Linked DNA regions of Canis lupus familiaris. The protein of the gene in region 3 binds, or shares a complex with, the protein of the main gene of each other region. Links are inferred from orthologs where the notes say so. Each region holds a gene or a part of one and is shown on either strand. Other genes may lie near its edges.

Evidence for each region.
Region 1: TAF11 (region 3) and TAF9 share a complex: the UniProt entries of both Homo sapiens proteins name them as parts of the TFIID basal transcription factor complex. The link is inferred for Canis lupus familiaris from reciprocal best matches to the Homo sapiens genes TAF11 and TAF9.
Region 2: TAF11 (region 3) and TAF13 share a complex: the UniProt entries of both Homo sapiens proteins name them as parts of the TFIID basal transcription factor complex. The link is inferred for Canis lupus familiaris from reciprocal best matches to the Homo sapiens genes TAF11 and TAF13.
Region 4: TAF11 (region 3) and TAF5 share a complex: the UniProt entries of both Homo sapiens proteins name them as parts of the TFIID basal transcription factor complex. The link is inferred for Canis lupus familiaris from reciprocal best matches to the Homo sapiens genes TAF11 and TAF5.
Region 5: TAF11 (region 3) and TAF7 share a complex: the UniProt entries of both Homo sapiens proteins name them as parts of the TFIID basal transcription factor complex. The link is inferred for Canis lupus familiaris from reciprocal best matches to the Homo sapiens genes TAF11 and TAF7.

What each region holds. Positions count from the first base shown.
Region 1 is NC_049257.1:19,523,878-19,526,715, forward strand, and holds TAF9 (transcription initiation factor TFIID subunit 9), read right to left. Parts: upstream 1,577-2,838; 5' UTR 1,449-1,576; coding exon 651-1,448; 3' UTR 512-650; downstream 1-511. UniProt on the Homo sapiens protein: The TFIID basal transcription factor complex plays a major role in the initiation of RNA polymerase II (Pol II)-dependent transcription.
Region 2 is NC_049227.1:43,170,342-43,174,332, forward strand, and holds the start of TAF13 (transcription initiation factor TFIID subunit 13), read left to right. Parts: upstream 1-1,185; 5' UTR 1,186-1,241; coding exon 1,242-1,268; intron 1,269-2,120; coding exon 2,121-2,199; intron 2,200-3,991. UniProt on the Homo sapiens protein: The TFIID basal transcription factor complex plays a major role in the initiation of RNA polymerase II (Pol II)-dependent transcription.
Region 3 is NC_049233.1:4,269,720-4,273,930, forward strand, and holds the start of TAF11 (transcription initiation factor TFIID subunit 11), read right to left. Parts: upstream 2,817-4,211; 5' UTR 2,542-2,816; intron 2,515-2,541; exon of another isoform or gene 2,456-2,514; intron 2,093-2,455; exon of another isoform or gene 2,066-2,092; 5' UTR 1,541-2,065; coding exon 1,370-1,540; exon of another isoform or gene 1,251-1,369; intron 1-1,250. Other genes in the region: ANKS1A (ankyrin repeat and SAM domain-containing protein 1A), read left to right, coding at 3,006-3,208. UniProt on the Homo sapiens protein: The TFIID basal transcription factor complex plays a major role in the initiation of RNA polymerase II (Pol II)-dependent transcription.
Region 4 is NC_049249.1:15,941,775-15,945,290, forward strand, and holds part of TAF5 (transcription initiation factor TFIID subunit 5), read left to right. Parts: coding exon 1-232; intron 233-3,516. UniProt on the Homo sapiens protein: The TFIID basal transcription factor complex plays a major role in the initiation of RNA polymerase II (Pol II)-dependent transcription.
Region 5 is NC_049223.1:35,442,278-35,446,444, forward strand, and holds TAF7 (transcription initiation factor TFIID subunit 7), read right to left. Parts: upstream 2,801-4,167; 5' UTR 2,051-2,800; coding exon 1,001-2,050; 3' UTR 477-1,000; downstream 1-476. UniProt on the Homo sapiens protein: The TFIID basal transcription factor complex plays a major role in the initiation of RNA polymerase II (Pol II)-dependent transcription.

The DNA.
Region 1 (2,838 bases), on a different chromosome or scaffold from region 3:
GTGCAGTCTGCTGTGGAATGCTTTGCTGCTTTGTTTTCCCAACTAGACTCATTAGCAGTGCCAGGTGGTAATAACTATCCAACTGATTCCTACTAGTAAAATAAAATCTGCCTAAGATCACTATGGACTCTTTCCCCCATTCTCTGCTTCATTTCTGACCTGATACGCTTTTGGAAAATAATTATGCATGGCAGGAAGTTGCCATACAACAGAGAAGGATTGTTGCATCCTGGGATTATATAGGATTTCAGATCAAATACTTTTTATTGTGAGAATAAATTGAAAAACATGGTTTTCATCAGTATAGCACAGTCAAATCTATTTCTTGCTTTTCTTCTTTCCTGTTCATTTCATCATTAAAGACTCAACAAAAGAAATTTTTATTAATTTAAGAGAATGTTTGCACTGGTGTTTTTTGTTTTTTTTTTTGATGAACAACAATTTTATTTTTCACACTTAAAGGCTAATGAATAACCATTACTAATCCTATTAAAGAAAACCCAACATTCAATAGGAAAGGATAACTATATTTACTCATTAAATACCATTTAAGTTTTCTACAACACAACTTCAAAATACCCAGCATGCACGTTTAATCTCAGTACAATGGATTTAAGACCAAGTTTACAGGTTACAGCATCAAGGCTAGATTACAAATTATCATAGTCATCATCGTCATCATCATCGTCATCATCATCATCTTCTCGTTTTCTTTTCAATGCATTTGATGATTCATTGGAAGTATTTTGTGATGACACCATGTTTGTAGTGATAAGAATGTTTTTGGACCCAATTAATGATGGATTAATCAGAACATTCTGAACTGCGGATGTGGCAGGAATTGATGCTTTTACAGTTGGGGACTGTGATGTGGGCATCTGTACTGTAAACCTCTGCCCTGTGAGGGACATGGGAGTCCCTACTTTAGTTGACACTGACATGGTTTGTGGGGTTGGTGTACCAAGAGTGGGAGTACTTGGTCGGCTAGTAACAGAACCAACACTTAACCGTGGAACTGTTATTCTTCCCGCAGAAGTTGATGCCTTTTTTTGTAAAGACTTAAGTCTATAGTTTGGAGCCGTCAAGCAATATCTATCAGGTGGCAGCCTGGGGCCTGAATATGGCTTGATTAACGGCAAAGGAGTTTGATTTCTTTGCCTTGCAATATCCAATAAAAAATCTCTTGGGGGAGGAGAGGTAAAAGACTGATCAGCACGACACTGAATGGCAAGCCGCACATCGTCTGCATCAACAGTAGCCTTCTTAGCATGGCTTGAATAAATTTTTGCATCATCTAGGATTGTGGTCACATATCGGAACGCAAACTCCAACATCTGATTTATAACTCTTGGTTCATATTCTGTAATCCCCATATCCTTCAGGATTTGTGCCATCATCTGTGCATCTTTCGGCATGCTCTTGGGAGAAGCCATCTTGCCAGACTCCATGATATCTGTTGATCAGACTTCTTGAGCTAAATCACCCACATTAATGTATTTCAATCCTGATCTCGATGCAAGTTCTTTGCCTAGTGTGGTTTTTCCAACCCCCGGGGTACCGGTGAGCAGGATGTTCGGGAGCAACATTGCACTGGTGTTTAGCATTCAGTAACATAATGTAGATTCTAGAAACAAAACTAGCCCCAGGATCTGTTCAAGTAAGCTGGAATAAAGGAGTGTATCTTTTAAAGTTGTCTTTTTTTTCACCCATTATACATTGTTACTCAACAGGTAGAAATATGAAGCAGTAAAACAGTATTTAGTAAGCCATTCTCTTATCTAGGAGGCTTTTTTAGTCAGTTAAATTTTGTTTCTGCTTCATTTTTATTAAAAAGAGTAAGGTAACAAAGGGACATAAATGAGGATATGTTTTTAAAAGTAACCGCCTGCCACCTTCCAAAGAAGATAGCCAAATTCCTAGACCTGTGCTATTCCATACAGTAGCCACTAAGCCACACTTGGCTACTGAGCACTGGAAATGTGCCTAGTTCAAATGGAGATGTGAGGGACACCTGGGTGGCTCAGAGGCTGAGCATCTGCCTTTGTCTCAGGGCATGATCCCTGGTTCCAGGATTGAATCCTGCATCTGGCTCCTTGTGGGGAGTCTGCGTCTCTGCCTCTCTGTGTCTCTCATGAATAAATACAATCTCAAAACAAAACAAAACAAAAACAAACCAGAAACAAAAACAAATGGAGATGTAAAGTGTAAAACACATGTTAGATTTCAGAAACTGAATGTGAATAAAGAAGAAAAAAAACCTTAGCAATAATTTTTAAATATATAGTTTGAAAAGATATATTTTGGATATATTGAGTTCAATAAAATATATTATTAAAATTAATTTCACTTATTACTTTTTTAAAGACTTATTTGAGAGAGAAAGAGAGAGAGCACGCGAGTGTGCAAGGGGAGAGGCAGAAGGAGAGGCAGAGAGAAACCCAAGCAGACTTGGTGCTCAGCACAGAACCCGAGGTGAGGTTCAATTTCATGTCTCTGAGATCATGACCTGAGCTGAAATCAAGAGTCAGATAGATGCTTAACGGACTACACCACCCACACTCCCCTGTTTATTACTTTTTTAAAAAATGTGTCTACTAGAAGATTTTAAATTACCTAATGAGTTGTATGATATTTTTATTGGACAACACTGTCCTAGGCTGTTATTTTGGGACATCATTACTCCTGAGAACCGACCATGAATAACAGTAAGATCTTCAATCATAGAGTTAAAACTTAATTCAAAGCTTTTTGAAAAGCAACTTGGAGATACATATTAAGAGACTTACATGTATCTTAACTCTCTTGGGCAGGAATTTATATTTCTGTGACCTATATTTC
Region 2 (3,991 bases), on a different chromosome or scaffold from region 3:
CTGCTTCTCCCTCTGCCTGTGTCTCTGCTTCTCTCTCTCTCTATCTCTCATGAATAAATAAATAAAATCTTTAAAAAAACATAAGACATGTTTAGTATCTAAACAAAGTTAGGTTCTAGGCTCAGATAATTATAGGTTTTTCATTCACATGAATGTTTAGCAGGGCATTCAGAAATATTGTGGGACAACTTCTCCTTGTGTGGCATCATGCCTTGCATTGCAGAACATTTGATATCCCTAGCTTTAGCTTTCTAACGCCAGTGGTTTTCTTCATTGTTCTGATCACAAAATTCCCCACAAATATTTAATCCTCAGTTTAAGGGGGTGATGTTTTCCTCTTAAAAACTAGCGGCGAAGGAAAACATACCCAATAATCAGTGTAGTGCTTGGCAATTAATAATAGTGTAACTAGGGATCCCTGGGTGGCGCAGCGGTTTGGCGCCTGCCTTTGGCCCAGGGCGCGATCCTGGAGACCCGGGATCGAATCCCACGTCGGGCTCCCGGCGCATGGAGCCTGCTTCTCCCTCTGCCTCTCTCTCTCTCTGTGTGTGTGTGAGACTATCATAAATTTAAAAAAAAGAGTGTAACTAGGGCAGCCCCGGTGGCTCAGCGGTTTAGCGCCACCTTTGGTCCAGGGCCTGATCCTGGAGACCGGGGATCGAGTCCCATGTCGGGCTCCCCGCAGAGAGCCTGCTTCTCCCTCTGCCTGTGCCTCTGTCTCTGTCTCTCTCTCTCATGAATAAATAAATTAAATCTTAAAAAAATAATAATAGTGTAACTATAGGTTGTTAAAATTGTGTAAACACACTCTTCGGGCATCCCAAGGACCACTGGCACCCCAGTGATACGTAGCTTCACAGCCCCGAATCAGGGAGCGGTGATTCCATACGTAGAAGCCAATTCAGGGCCACAACATACACACTGCCCAGTCTACGATTTCCTTTTCTTTCCTAATACGTAATCAATCCGTGATCTTGATCACAGAACCTGCGGCTCATCCCCCTGTCCGCTTGCACCTGCCGTTAAGTCTCCGCGCGACCTCCTCGCGGGTTGGCCGACTAGGCCCCGCCCCGCCCGGCTCGGCCCCGCCCCCTCCCCGCCCTCCCGGCTCGGCCCCGCCCCCGCCCCTCCCGGCTAGGCCCCGCCCCTCCCCGCCCCTCCCGGCGCGTCACCGGAAGTGAGGCAGAGGAACTAGTGAAGCGGCTGCAAGCGAGGCTGCGGCTTCTAGGCTGGCCGGCGGCATGGCCGACGAGGAGGAAGACCCTGCTGTGAGTGACCGCCGCCGTTCCCACCCACCCGTTTCTTCATTCCCTGGGGGACAGGAGCGGAGCCTGAGTTCAGATTCACCTTAGCCAGTACACTGGAGAGAGTTCGGAGACTTCACGCCCAGCTAGCCTTTCCCTTCGGGTTCATCTCTTAGTACGTGGGGCAGGACGTGAAGAGTAGGACGGTGGCTGCTTGCTTGCTTCTGCTTGCTTTTGCTTTTGGTGTCTGTTTGCTGGACACTCCGAATCGCCTGGAAAGCCATCCGAGGACAATGCTAATTGTTTGTTAGCGCGCTTTATGAACCGATACTGCAGCTGATAACAAAACTATGTGCTTACTGTAGAGTTGTGGGAAAATAATGGACCGAAAATCAGGGAACCTGGATTTCAAAACCTCTTTTATCTCTGAGCCAGTTTCTTAACTTTGAGCCTTTGTTTACATGTCAAAAAATGGGGTTCAGGCTTATTGGAGGGAAGTTCCTAGTCCTGTGTAAGCGATGCTTAGTAAATACTAGTTTGCTTACTTTGATTCAGTACCAATTCTTAATAGTAAAAACTGTAGTAATAGACTAACTAGTTGGTTTAAAAAAAAAAAAACGTATGGTCATCATAACTTCCAGGAGAGGCAGTAGGATTATTTGTTAGGGACATCGTAGAAGCCATTCCTGCGTAAGTGGAAAGTTGGACTGGATAGTCATTAAGGTTCTTAAAACGCTGAGATTTCATGATTTTTTGCTGCTTGCTTTAGGCTTTCTGGCACAATATCAGTGTTAGAAATGAAAAAAAAATTAAACGTTAATTATTTAATAATCAAATGCAGCACTTGACATTTCACATATACGTTTTAATTTGTAGTTTGAGGAAGAAAATGAAGAAATTGGAGGAGGTGCAGAAGGCGGACAGGGTAAAAGGAAGAGACTTTTTTCTAAAGAATGTAAGTAATATTTGACAATGATTCAATTACAGAGAATAAAAACTTTTTTTTTTTTTTAAAAGATTTTACTTATTTATTCATGAGAGACACACAGAGAGAGGCAGAGGTAGAAGCAGGCTCCATGCAGGGAGCCGGATGTGGGACTTAATCCTGGGACTTCAGGATCATGCCCTGGGCCAAAGGCAGGCGCTAAACGGCTGAACCACCCAGGGATCCCGACAATAAAAACTTTTAGACATGTTTATTCAAAGTAGATTAATGTTCTCTGTGGGAACAATATTCTCAGACTTGCCCATAAAACGTGTTTAACTTCTGAATCAAATAGTAGTGATCCTAACCCCAATTTGTGTGTGTGTGTAGGTGGGTGGGCGTGTATATGCACTTTTCTTTTTAATTGAAGAAATGTGATCAGTGTTTCAATTCAGGGCCAAAAAACATACCTCCATTACTTTTTGTGTCCCTTACTATTGCAGCAGAACTCCTAGACTACAAGTCTAAGGTTATGATGGATCCTGGAACAGGTACTGATGGTAGGAATTAAGTTGGGCCTTCGGACTAAAGCATTGGACAAGACAGAAAGGTGATGAGTAGTGTAAGACAGTACAGTGGCATAGAGATTGTAATGTATTGGTTCTCTAGTGTATTCCCTCAATAGATAGGCTTGACTCTTTTTGGCAGCAGCAAGAGGGAGAGCTGCTGTTCCTAGTGACAGTCAAAGCTAGTCCCTGAAAGGCACTGTGAGAATGTGCTCTCCATCCTGTGTCTTTTACACGTAGTTATGGCTGAGTAGTGACAAAGGAGGCAGCACATGAATATATGGTTTATTTATGCTGGGTCGGACTGAATGATTCCCAAATGCTCTTGAAACTGCAGTCGGTATATATTTATATTTTTTTAATGACTCAAATCCTCCATATCTCAATGTCTCACCTAAAGTTGACCACTCCTTAATCCATCTTTGATACTCTTTATTCTGTTTTTATTTCTTATATCAGCGTAAGAAGGGGATTTCCACGGCAGAGCATCCCAGACTGATGTTTGCATTGTCACTTCTTAGCAGAAATGTTTGTTCTGCTTGGCTTGTTTTATTTTTGTGATGATAAGAGTTTGGAATATTCACAGCCTTCTCCTTGTCTTACTTTAATCTTGTATAATTTATTGGCTGACATCTGTTATCCGAAACTTTGTTTTTTTTTTATTTTTTTTTATTTTTATTTTTTTTAAATTTTTCTTTTTTTTTTTAATTTTCATTTATTTATGATAGTCACACACACAGAGAGAGAGGCAGAGACACAGGCAGAGGGAGAAGCAGGCTCCATGCACCAGGAGCCCGACGTGGGATTCGATCCCGGGTCTCCAGGATTGCGCCCTGGGCCAAAGGCAGGCGCCAAACCGCTGCGCCACCCAGGGATCCCTTGTTTTTTTTTTAATTGCTACTTTATAACACAAAGTTTCAAATAATTCACTGGTATTTGTGTCTTTACAAACCCTTTAACCAAATGCAGTTAACATATATACTGGTGAATTATGCTCATCAAAATGTTAATGACAAAGTATCTTCCTCAAATATTTAAGGAAAAATAGTAAGCTTGCAATGGAGAATCCTGGCAGACAAGTAATGTCTAAAGTATTAGCTGATGATCAAAGTCAACATCACCAGTAATGTATAACATCATGTACCTCCAATATGATGCATTAAGAGGGCACCTCACCTGTATGGTACCCTTTCTAGTAATGAGTACCCACAGTCTAATCATGAGAAAACACCAGAGAAACTCAAATTGGAGAACAT
Region 3 (4,211 bases):
CTAATATTTATTTCCCATTGCTAGACTGAAAACTTTTTTTTAAAAAGATTTTATTTATTTATTTATTCATGAGAGACACAGAGAAAAGCAAAGACATAGGCAGAGGGAGGAGCAGGCTCCATGCAGGGAGCCCAATGTGGGACTCAATCCCGGGTCTCCAGGATCATGCCGAGCCAAAGGCAGATGTTTAACTGCTGAGCCACCCAGGCGTCCCCTAGACTGAAAACTTTTTGAAGATAGATTTCTTATTAATCTCTCCCCACATAAGCATTTAACATAAATTTACTTGTACTAGATGTTTAATAGCAATTAAAATCCAAATTCATCCTCTCCATCTTAATGTAAGATCAAAAGACACAACAAACCTCATTAATGGGATTTAATCTGTTTTCCCTAAAGAGGAACTCACATAAACTCATACAGGAATATGAGGGGACAGGTGAAAGTGAAGGTAGTATATCTTTAAAAAACTTTTCCATTTCTTCTCTAGTTATTTAATACACATTTTCTAACCTCTCTGTGCTTTAATTTTGGTGATTTCTATTTTCCTTAAAAATGAGCCATTTTTCTTAGACATTAAAATTTATTTGGCCTAAACTTGAACATCAAATATTTCTGGTTTGTTCTGTTCTTCTCGTTTCTTGAGTTGGGTGCTTATCTCCTGTTTGTTAACAAAAATATAGAAAGCTATGAATTTTTCTGTAAATAAGGTATTGGCCAAAGCCCATAGGATTTGATGTCACGTTCTCTTTGGTCAATGCAGTAGTTAAATGTTGGAAGGAGGTAAAAATGTGACTAACCCAGTAAGTCCCTCACAGTCTCCATTGAACGATTCTGCAGCGTGTAATGACAAAGTTATGCTTGAGCAACATCTAGGAGAAACCATATTTCGGTCAAAGGGGTTCTAGAATCCTGGCTTCTAGCTCTTGCATAAAGTCTTAGTGTGACATCAGGTCCCAATTCTTCACCAGGAAAACCAAGAGGCTATGCCAAAGTCCCTGAGGGGCGCCTGGGTGGCTTCCTGAGTGGGGAAGGAGGCACTCTTGATCTCACCGTCGTGTTCAAGTCCCACCTTGGGGGGGGAGAGTTTACGTAAAAAAAAAAAAAAAAAAAAAAAAAATCCCTTATAAGTAGCCTCGACAGGTAAGGGCAAGGATTAAAAGTATTAAACCCAATGGCTAGGTCTCTGGAACCGAAGCAGCATTAAAGTTTTGTCTCTTCCCTCTCCCCGCCCACCTTTTCATATCTAGAGAGTTATGGTGAGTTAAGAGTTTTATCTTAGCTTGGAGGGACCAACCAGGAAGGCGGTCGGGAGAGCACTAAAAATCTCGGAATACTCCTCTAGCCTCATCAACACTTCCCTCCCTACCTCGCCGTCTTCGGCCGTGGCTTCCTTCAAGTCCCCATCTCCGTCCACGTCAGTTTCCTCCGGGATTCCGTCAGTATCTGTAGGCCCGGGGACCCCGGGAGCAGGGGCCGTTTCATCTGACTCCCTTGCCTCTCCACCTTTTTCCGTGGGCGACTCGCAGGCATTATCCATAGCGGTAAGAAAAAGAGCGGAGAGATCGCCCTCCTGTCAGATCCTGGAGCTCACGCACGACCTACTGGAGCACAGCAGCCCCGAAGCTTACTTCCTGTCGTCGCTCTGTGATGACATCACTCCTACCGCTCCTCGGAGGGGACAGTTTGAAGCACGTTTAGAGTACTTCAGGACTCCCTTTTAACTCTGATTCGGTGACGGTTGGAGAGGGAAGACTGAGGTTACAGAATTCAGTTTGTGGATTTTCCACACTGGGAAAGAAGAGTTGTGTTGCTTACTGAAGGACTTTTTTCTCTTTTTTCCCCCTCCGTTCTGCCTTTCCAAAAACGAAGTTAACTGCTTAATCCGCTTTTCTCAGAGTCAAGTTTGGGGACGGGAGAAAACTCCATTCCATTGTACGCGGGTGTGGTGGGATGCGGCTACCTGGTAAATTTATAGGCGGGGACACAGCTTCGTACATTTCAATTGGTTAGCGATCGTGGGCCTGTGTGAATCGCCAGCATTTCTCTTCGGTTCCTTATGCACCTTAAAAAAAAAAAAAAAAAAAAAAAAGTCATATAGCTCGAACAGAATTGATCCAACCCATTTATTCACGCCACAACTGTTGAGCGCCTACTTCGAGCTAGGGACAGTTCTAGTAGCAACAACACATAGTTTCTACCCGCATAAGTGATTTTTCAATTCACCGGTCCTAAAGATCGAGGTCGGTTTTACAAACCTGACTTCTTAGGTCAGTTTGGTTAATCTCATCAAAAGGAGAGGAAACGGATTCTACTGGGAAGGGAGGTCTCGTCTTTGCATATTTCACTTTAACGAGCCATGTCAGAGATTGGGACCATCAAGAAGTGGAGGGATTTTTATTTAAAAATTTTCCTCTCTCCCGTGATTGAGGTAAGAGTGGGGCATTTTATTCACCTCTGTATCACTAGGCCCCCACAGACACCACAGATTTAATTTATGCGTGCTCAAAGAATGGACTTGGAAATGTAGGTGGGCGTTACCGTATTTCTCTCTTTGTTTGCACGCTGCCTGGGTGAATTACCGTATTTCCTGTCCTGTGGGCTCCCAGAACCTTTGGGGAAGGAGCGCACTTCGGGAGGCGCCTACAGGTGGACTCCGTCTGTCCCCTTCCACCCGTACAGCGGGAATCTCCAAGTCGCTTTCCTCTTGCCGCTGGAGGCGTATCTCCGCACTCCCGGGTCCACTTCCCGCGGCCCAAAGCCACCTGCGCCCGCCGGCCGAGCCCCGCCCAGCTAGGTGGGCAAGGGGGCGGGGCGTGGGGGCGCGGTGACGCGTGACGCCAGATCCCGGAAGTGACGCGCTCCTGGGGCGAAAAGGCGGGGGGAGGGGGGTGGTGTCCCCGGCCGGTTTGGGGGGTGCGTTGCCCGGAGACGGAAAGTTTGGGAGCAGGAGCAGGCTCGGCCGCAGCCCTGGGAAGGGGGTCCAGGGGGCGGTGGCCCTGGGGATGGGGAAGGAGCAGGAGCTGCTGGAGGCGGCCCGCACCGGGCACCTCCCGGCCGTGGAGAAGCTGCTGTCGGGGAAGCGGCTTTCCTCGGGCTTCGGGGGTGGCGGCGGCGGCGGCAGCGGCTCCTCCGGGAGCGGCGGCGGCGGCGGCGGCGGCGGCCTCGGCCTCGGGTCCTCTAGCCATCCGCTCTCCAGTCTGCTCAGGTGAGTGACGCGCCGGGGCGGGACCGCCGCCCGGGGATCCCCTCTCCCCCGCCTGTCCCCTGGGTGTCGAGAGAGGTCCGCGCTCCGGAGAGCCGTCGGGGTGGGCTTGCGGCACGCCGGGCCGAGGGCGGGCGGCCCACGGGGCGAGGGGCGCCCGTGCAGGTTCGCGCGGCGCCGGGCTGCCGTCTGGCGTCCCGACTCGGCTGTGGAGAATGGTGGGAGTGCCCAGGCGCAGCCTCCGCCGCCGCATGGCACGGCCGGGCTTCACCTCGCCCGCCTCGGGTGCCAGCTGCCGCTTCTCACACGGCACTTCAGAGCAAAGGAATATTCATTTTAAATCTCCCTCACCTCGTGCAGAAACTCCCACGCCTTGCAGAATCTCGCCGCTCCCCTGGAGGAAATTCTCATGATTTCCTTCTTTTGGGAACTTGGAATCTTCCACCACGCCCCACGGGACCTGGCTTTTGTTGTTTACGTTAAAATTGTGTCTGGATTTACCACGTCCCGAGTGTTCTTTTAGCCCCTCTTGTGCTCGGAGCTTAGATTCTAGTGCGTTGTAATGAAGCTCATTGGGTTAGTCTGCTGAGTGGCGTACGCAGGATTCGTCAAGGGGTTTATTCGTCAAGAGACAAAGCTTTAGAAAGAGTGATTTCGGAAACTGAGGGGTGCTTTAAACTTTTCCGAGGTTTGTTGTTAAACACTTGATCTGGAGCTATCTGGATTCAGAGAAGAAGGTCACTTTTGCCTGGATTGGAGGGGGAGTTGGAGGCGCTTTGTCAGTGTGAGTAAAATGTGTTGGTCAGCAGCACTTTCATTGCCTGTTTTCTTTTCCTTCCTTGTTCTTTTGAGGTTTTCAAGAAGTGGAAGTTCATTTAGAAATGGCTTCGTTGGCTTTTGTTCCCTATTAGTTTACGTAACTTCAGTTCGAGTGAGCTTGGACCAAAGCAACCTAAGGAGGTAATAAATGTTAGGTATTAAGCACTAAGTACAAACCCAGGTCTAC
Region 4 (3,516 bases), on a different chromosome or scaffold from region 3:
GCGTAGCTGTGGAAGACCAGCCGGATGTCAGTGCTGTGCTGTCAGCCTACAACCAACAAGGAGACCCCACAATGTATGAAGAATACTATAGTGGACTGAAACACTTCATTGAATGTTCTTTGGACTGCCATCGGGCAGAGTTATCCCAACTCTTTTATCCTCTGTTTGTACACATGTACTTGGAACTAGTCTACAATCAACATGAGAATGAAGCAAAATCATTTTTTGAGAAGTATGTGAATTTCATATGTATTACATAAATAGCACACATATATAATGTGTATACACATCTGTAACCACACAAGTGTAAGATTGTAACTCAAAATGTATTTCATGAAGTAGAGATACCTGCTGCTAGGAGAACCTAAAAAAGGGGTTTGATCTAGTTGGAGAAGTCAGGGAAAGCTCCCTGAGAAAGTGATCTTGAGGTAAGATCCGAAGATTGGATTGGAGCTAACCAGATAAAGAGAAGTAGGAAAAGCGTGTGGAATAGCTCTGGCGGGAGGGATCATGGTAGGTGCAGAGATGAAGGAAGGCCAGTATGGCTGGAGCAGAGTATAGAGTCAGGTACAGTATAACCTGAAGCTGGGCTGGTACAGACAGGTTCTTGGGCCATGTTGAGGGTCTTTGTTTATTCTGAGAGCAGTGGTGGGTTGTATTGGGTAGGATTAGGAGCTGAGATTCAATGGACACTCAAACAATAATGACATAAATAAGTGTATTTTTTGCTTTTATCCTAAGAGCAATAGGAAGCTGTGTTAGGGTTAGATTAGATTGAGAGTGACTGAAAACCCAAATAATATGGCTTAAGTACAGTAAAAGTTCATTTCTCTCTCATAAAGGTTAGGCAGTCGGGGACTGGTATGGAGGCCTTGATTACTGGGGACCCAGGCTTTCTCCATCTCGATGCTCTTCCATCCTTGTCGCGTAGTTTCTACCTGTGGCACAAGATGGCTCTTTGGCTCTGAGCAGTCATATTAGTGTTGCAGTCAGCTGGAAAGGCGCACATCCTTTCTGGAAGTTGCACACACCTCTTCCCTTTATTTTTTTTTTAAGATTTTATTTACTTATTCATGAGAGACACAGGGGTGGGGGCAGAGACATAGGCAGAGGGAGAAGCAAGCTCCCCCGCAGGGAGCCCAATGTGGGACTTGATCCCAGGATTCTGGGTTCATGCCCTGAGCCAAAGGCAGATGCTCAACCACTGAGCCGCCCAGGTGTCCCACACCTTTTCCTTTTTTTTTTTTTTTTTTTTTTTTTTTTAAAGATTTTATATATTCATGAGAGAGACAGAGAGAGGCAGAGATACAGGCAGAGGGAGAAGCAGGCTTCATGCAGGGAACTCGATGTGGAACTCCCATCCTGGATCTCCAGGATCACGCCCTGGGCTGAAGATGGCGATAAACCACTGAGCCACCCAGGCTGCCCCCTCTTCCTTTTTTATGTGGTTAGTCAATGTTCATACTTCCTATCTCCCTTGTGTTTATGTGCTCAGCTAAGATGCAGGAATTCTGCTGTGGAGGAAGAAAGAAAAAAAATGGATGTTAGGGACAGTGAGGTGTCTCTGCTATAGAAGTCATTGAAGGTCCATGTCATTATTAGATTTGCATTTTTAAAAAATTTTATTATTAATCTCTTTACCCAGAGTGGGGCTGAACTCACAACCCTGATGAGATCGAGTCGTATGCTCTACTACTTATGCCAGACAGGTGCCCTGATTTGCCTTTTGAAAGGACCTTTATGCAGTTGGAAAGAATAGATGGTGGTTGTAGGGAGGAACAGAGTGACTTTAGAGTGACTGGTTTGGGAGGTGATTGTAGTGGTCCTCAACTAGGGGGTAATATTATTCTGGCTTCTCCTGGGCTATTTGAACATGTGTAAAGGTGTTTTGGTTGTCATAATGACCAGGGTGGGGAAGAGCAGGTGTCTTCGGGATGCCAAATGTTCTAATATGTGCAGGTAGTCCTATTTAACAAAGAATTGTTCTGCCCCAAAATCTTCTGTTGAGAAATATTAGACTAGGGTGCAGTAGTGTTTGTGAAGGTAAGTAGATATTGGTGAGGCAGTTGGTGATGGATTGGATATGGAGTAAGGGAGATGAGAGTATTATTGATAACCATTAGGTTTCTGGCTCCATCATCTGGATAGGGGTGGCCTTCACTAAGATAGGAAACCCTGGAAGAAGACCTGGTTTGACCGGTTGTGGAGTAATCTTGAGTTCAGATTTGAATATGCCTTTGACTCATTTAAGAGATACTAAGTTGATTCGTGAATGGTATATAAGTCTCTGGAGTTCCAAGGAGATGTAGGGACCAGAGCCATAAATTGGAGTTGTGTATAATATTGATGCATATGGATGAGATTACCTGGAGTGGAGGCTATATGAAATAAGTCACTGGGAGGCTGGACCTGGGCCTTGAGGAACTCCCAACATTTGGAGTAGAAGAGATAGAAAAAGAGTAGAACAGATGGCCAAGTAGAAGAGGTATGCAAGGAGAAGTTAGAGAAGTAGGAAGAAAACCAGGAAGGTATTGAGTTATAGAAGCCAAAGAAAGGAGTGTTTAAAAAGGAGGCAGTACTTAACAGTTTGAATGAGAACATTTTAATACAAACAATAGACCCAAAAGCCAGCAGTTGTCAGACAACACAAGTAGTGGTTATAGGGGAATAATAGAACTTGGGACACTTAGCTTCAATGCCATCATGTCCATTCGTTATTGTATGATGCCTTATAGAAGGTTATAAAGCAAATATTCTTTAGCTTAGCATTTTAGAAAAAAATTAACAAAGGCTGATGATGATAGGATTGTAACCTAATTTTTCTTAAAGTATTGTCATCAAGAAACCCCTTCCTCTCTTAGTATCATGGGTAGCCATCTTGCCACAGAAAAATAGAATATCCTGGGGGACTCTTGTCTGCTTGTTGTGGACAATCTCAGCCCTTCCCAAGCACCAGTGCTCAGATGAGGTTATGGGCAGTGACTGCTATGAACACCAGGAGACTGAAATTTCTAATTTCACTGAAATCTTGGACAGAAACCCTTAGTTCATGTCTTGGTGAATCATAATAGGGTAACATAGGTAACAGTTTAGGAATCTTTTGACTTGTATCAGAGCTAGAGCCCTAATATCTTATGTTTAGTCATTGTTCTCTAAATGTTTTTGCGTTGTTAGTGAGTGCCAAATATATGATCTTTAATTTTACTTTATCAGGAAAATTAAGATTTATAGAAACAAAAGTACATTTAAATTTACTAATTATCACCAAGGCTGAAAGCTTTACTTAATTACCTTTGGTAATGGTGAGTAAATGGAAGTGTTTATTCTTTGGTATCAACATTTGTTTGTCCTTTAGTCATTATTATTATACTGATGTTTAATAAATATATCTGGTATTAAGAATATAAGAAATCATTGAAAATGGTGGGTTTTATGAGAATGTCATGTATTATTAAGAAGCTGGGGGATAGGTTCGTTAATTATACTAGTTTCTACTGTTGTATATGTTTGAAAATT
Region 5 (4,167 bases), on a different chromosome or scaffold from region 3:
TTTGAACAATTTTGACGAACATGGACATATCACCTGAGTTCTGTACATACTATTAAATAATTGCAGGAATGGAAGTTGAAAATATTTAGAAATGCAATCAATCCAAAACAATGGGTTGATTACGTGAACAGTACGTAAGAGCCTTTGCTTTGTTTCTACTATTTTAACAAGATGAGTGTAGTGCTTTAAAAAAAAAAAAAAAGACAAAAATAGACCTTCATGTACAAAAGTTAGGATAGTTTAGGAAGGTTCTGTACGCAGTATTTTCTTAACCTACATATGTAACAGGTGGGTTGGAAAGTTAACATAAAGCAAAGACAGATTTCCCAATCTTTTTGACCCTACTGTGTTTTCTTAAAACTCAACATAACTTCTTTCCCTACAAAACAGGATCAAATCAGTCATTAAACCCCACCAAGAGACCACCTCACCAGAGGACCTGATACCCACTACCCCTTAAAGAGCAAGACACATCATGAGGTGAAAATTAGTTGCTTTTATTTATTGTTAAAACAACTTTTTGAAATGGTTTATAACCCTACATACATAAGAACGCTTTGAATACCTGGGAAAATAGCTACTACTTCATGGGAAAACATGCAAACCAACATCACTGCCTGCACACTAGACTCTGCTTACTGATTTCTGATGGCATCACAGAGAAGGAACAGCCACTCTGGCAAATGGAGAAACAGCAGCAAAATCCTTCAGTAAAGTTTTAATTACTAAGGTTACACTGTTCATTCCACTGAGCCTACAATTTTCCTACAATCACTTATCTGTCTATACATTCTTACTTTCTACAGGACACAGAGCAAAGTGGTTCTGACAAACAAGATAGCAATTCACATATTTGTAAGACAAATTCAGTAGATAACAGTGAAGAAAATGAGAACTACTGCAGTTATATCTAGTCCAGGTGTGATGAAGCCAAGATTCTTCTTTCAATGCTAAGGAATGAAAGCAGTCTTAGGAATGAAATTAAATACGAGAGCTCTTTTCACTTCTCCAGGAGTGATTCTAGCTCTTCCTGCAAAGAGCTGAGCTGCTCCCTTTCTCGGTCTTCCTTTTGTTTGAGTTCATCCAGCACGGCCTGAAATCTATTCTTGAGAGCCAGGTTTTCGACTTTCATAATGAGATCCTCCTGTCGTTTTGCCCTATCCTGGGTCTCTTGTAGTTTGCCTTTCATATTATCAATCTGTTTCTGAATTCCCATAACCAGTTGGTTGGTCCCCTCATTTTCTTGGTGCTGTTCATCTGATTCATTCAGCTTCTCCTGTAGCTGTCTTTCCAGATCTTCCTCAGTGTCAATGATGTTTATATCTTCTTCATCTTGATGCTGCGTCTCATCTTCATCTTCACTGCTGCTACTGAGGTCATTGAATATCTCCCGAAGCTCATCATGTTCTAATGAGTCATGGCCCTGCCTGTGACCAGACATTCCTGGAGAAGATATATCAAGGCCTTGATTTTCTGTTTCTTTTGTTTCATCTTCAGCAATTATCTCCCAACGAGTACTCACAGCTTCAGCATCTGTACTTAGCAACCGCTTCACTTCCTTCTCCACATCTGGAGATTCAATATACTTCTTCTTTGCTGTCTTCCGAAACCTTCTCTTTCTGACATTTTTTAGAGGCAGAGTAATTCCATGGTTCCATATAAACTTCTTCTCTTTGTCCTTATCCTTTTTCTTGCTTGCTTTGGGATCAGTAGTAGCAACTGGTTCCTCCACAGGAGGATAGAGATCACCATCAACTGTGGAGACAAGCATCTGACATATATCAGCTGTCTTGTAAAAAGTTTTTTTATCAATGGTTTTCAGGCTTTCCATAACACATGGCAGATCTACCAATTTGGAGGCCAATGGAACCCGGTCCACTCTGACGATTCCGTGACGTCCATCAGGGTGTAACTCAATTGTCAGTCTGTCCTTCAGATTGACATGACCAGACTGTACTGCCCGTCTCACAGTAGAGGCATATTCCGGAGGTAGCCGTAAAATAAACTGGCTCTCCAGTTCGTGAGGAGCATCATCTTTGCTCTTACTCATCTTTCCTTCTTTGAGACTCACTTCTCAACCACCACTTGTTGCACTTTAAGTTCCAGCTACTGACAACAGGTGGAGGCCAGTTTGTTATGAACTGAAATCCTTAATTACAAAAGTTTTAAGCAGAATAGGAGCTAAGCGTCTACTGTGAATTAAGGCCCAAGTCTTTATAAATCTGCTGTGATTGAAATACCAGTCGTTAGGGACACTAATCAATTAAGTCCATTTAAAACTATTAGCTGCAATTCAAGTTCCAACCTCTAGATGCCGCTGCCGGACAATGCAGACCGAGCTACCTAGCAGGAAAGCAAATGGCGGCTTCTGCGAAATGATTTTCGACACAAAAAGTAAGGCCCAGCAGACACTCCCATTTTACACTCTCTCCCGGAACAAAGGTATTCAAAAAGCAGAACGCAGTGAGCTTTCTTCGCCTTGGGTACTTACAATCCAGTGACGATTATAAGCCCAGCTTCTCCGGATAGGAGCGAGCGGAAGAGGCAGCCACTCCGAGCAAGACGGCCAGGAGCCGAGCGTCTCCTTCTTTATTCCTTTGTTCTTCCCAGGTCTTAGGAAAGTGATCCGCTACCGATTATCAATGAAATGCCGACGGCGGGCAGTGCGAAATCTCGCCGAGATCCGCAGCGCCAGACTCGGCAGCTCCGCAGCTCGGGGGATCTCAGTCCGGAGCTGCAGACCTAGCGGAGAAGAAAGCACTACGTCACACCGTGGGGCGGCTATGAGTGACAGCACGATTAAAGCGGAAGTCCGGGCTGCCCCAGCGCGCGCAGGCGCAATTACATTATCCGGGGACTTGTCCTCTCGCGATGATTTGACTTTACGCGAGAAAACGATAAATGTTTCATAAAGAGCTGTTGGTTTGAAAATATTTACAGACAAACATTGCAGCGAAGACATTGGCCCTCGCGTTCACCTTTCCCGCTCCGCTAAGCCAGAACATTTATTGGTCGCCGTGGTCCGGTTATCTCCTAGGCTTCTGAGTGATTTCCGGAAACAGGGCGTCCGTGCAGAAATCGTCTTTGCCTTTTGGAACATCTCGGATGCTCCCCACGGTATATCCATTCTGGAGCAGATACAAGAATTATAGTTAACTATAATTGTTATATATATAACAGTGGATTTTAAACTACTCAAATCAGTGGAGTGAGAAGGACATGCTGACCACTATATCATTCTAAGTATATGTTTTGTTAATTATGGAAAATGCCTGGAGGGGACCCATGCCTTAGGGACTCTTTCTTTTTTGAAAAACCACAAGGGTACATGAGTTATTCCTCTTTTTAATATGTTTGACGTAGATCTAAATGTAAACAAAGAAGCGAGTGTTCTTCTGGAGGCATATATTCGTTTAGAACATAATTGTCTGACAAACGGTCTGATTGAAGTAGAATAAAATTGAAGTATTACTCCCTGTCACGCATTTGCCTGTACTTTTTAAGTTAGGATTTTTTTTTTCATTCCACATCTACTCTTTTGAAACTGTTTTCTGCTTGTCACTTCTACGGGTAGTGAGGTACTCATTTGCATGTTTTGTAGTGTTTAGGCCTAAATATGTAACAGTTTACATTTGCTCCTATTCATTTCCATTTATTTTTTAATAGGATCAGTTTGGTTAAGCATCAAGGTCATTAAAATTTTGTTTCTGTCTTCTAAAATATGAACAACTTCATCTAAATTTAAGCAAACTCACTTAAAATGTGATTAACACTTTCAGAATTCGTTTTGTTTAGGTACTTGACTGTTTCTCTTGCACCAGATTGGAAGCTCTGTGATAATCAGGGAGTTTTTGATATCCCTGTTCATGGTGTCCCAGGACCTATTACCAAAACATGGGAAACACAAAAAAATATTTGCTAATTGAATGAAAGTTGATTCATTTAGAAATGACATATAGTCTGTTTCCCATAATAAATAATTTGTGAGAGACAATACATTCTAAAATGAGACAGAGCTACTTTATATATATTTTCTCTCTAGCCAAGGGCAGTGCCAATTGTGAGTGGAGAGGTTTCCTAAAAGTGCGTGTGAATGTGTCTGTTTTGGTTTAGGTAGTCTGTGGTATTGGGTGTCATGTGAGGAAATTAAAATGGCCTGGCACCAGT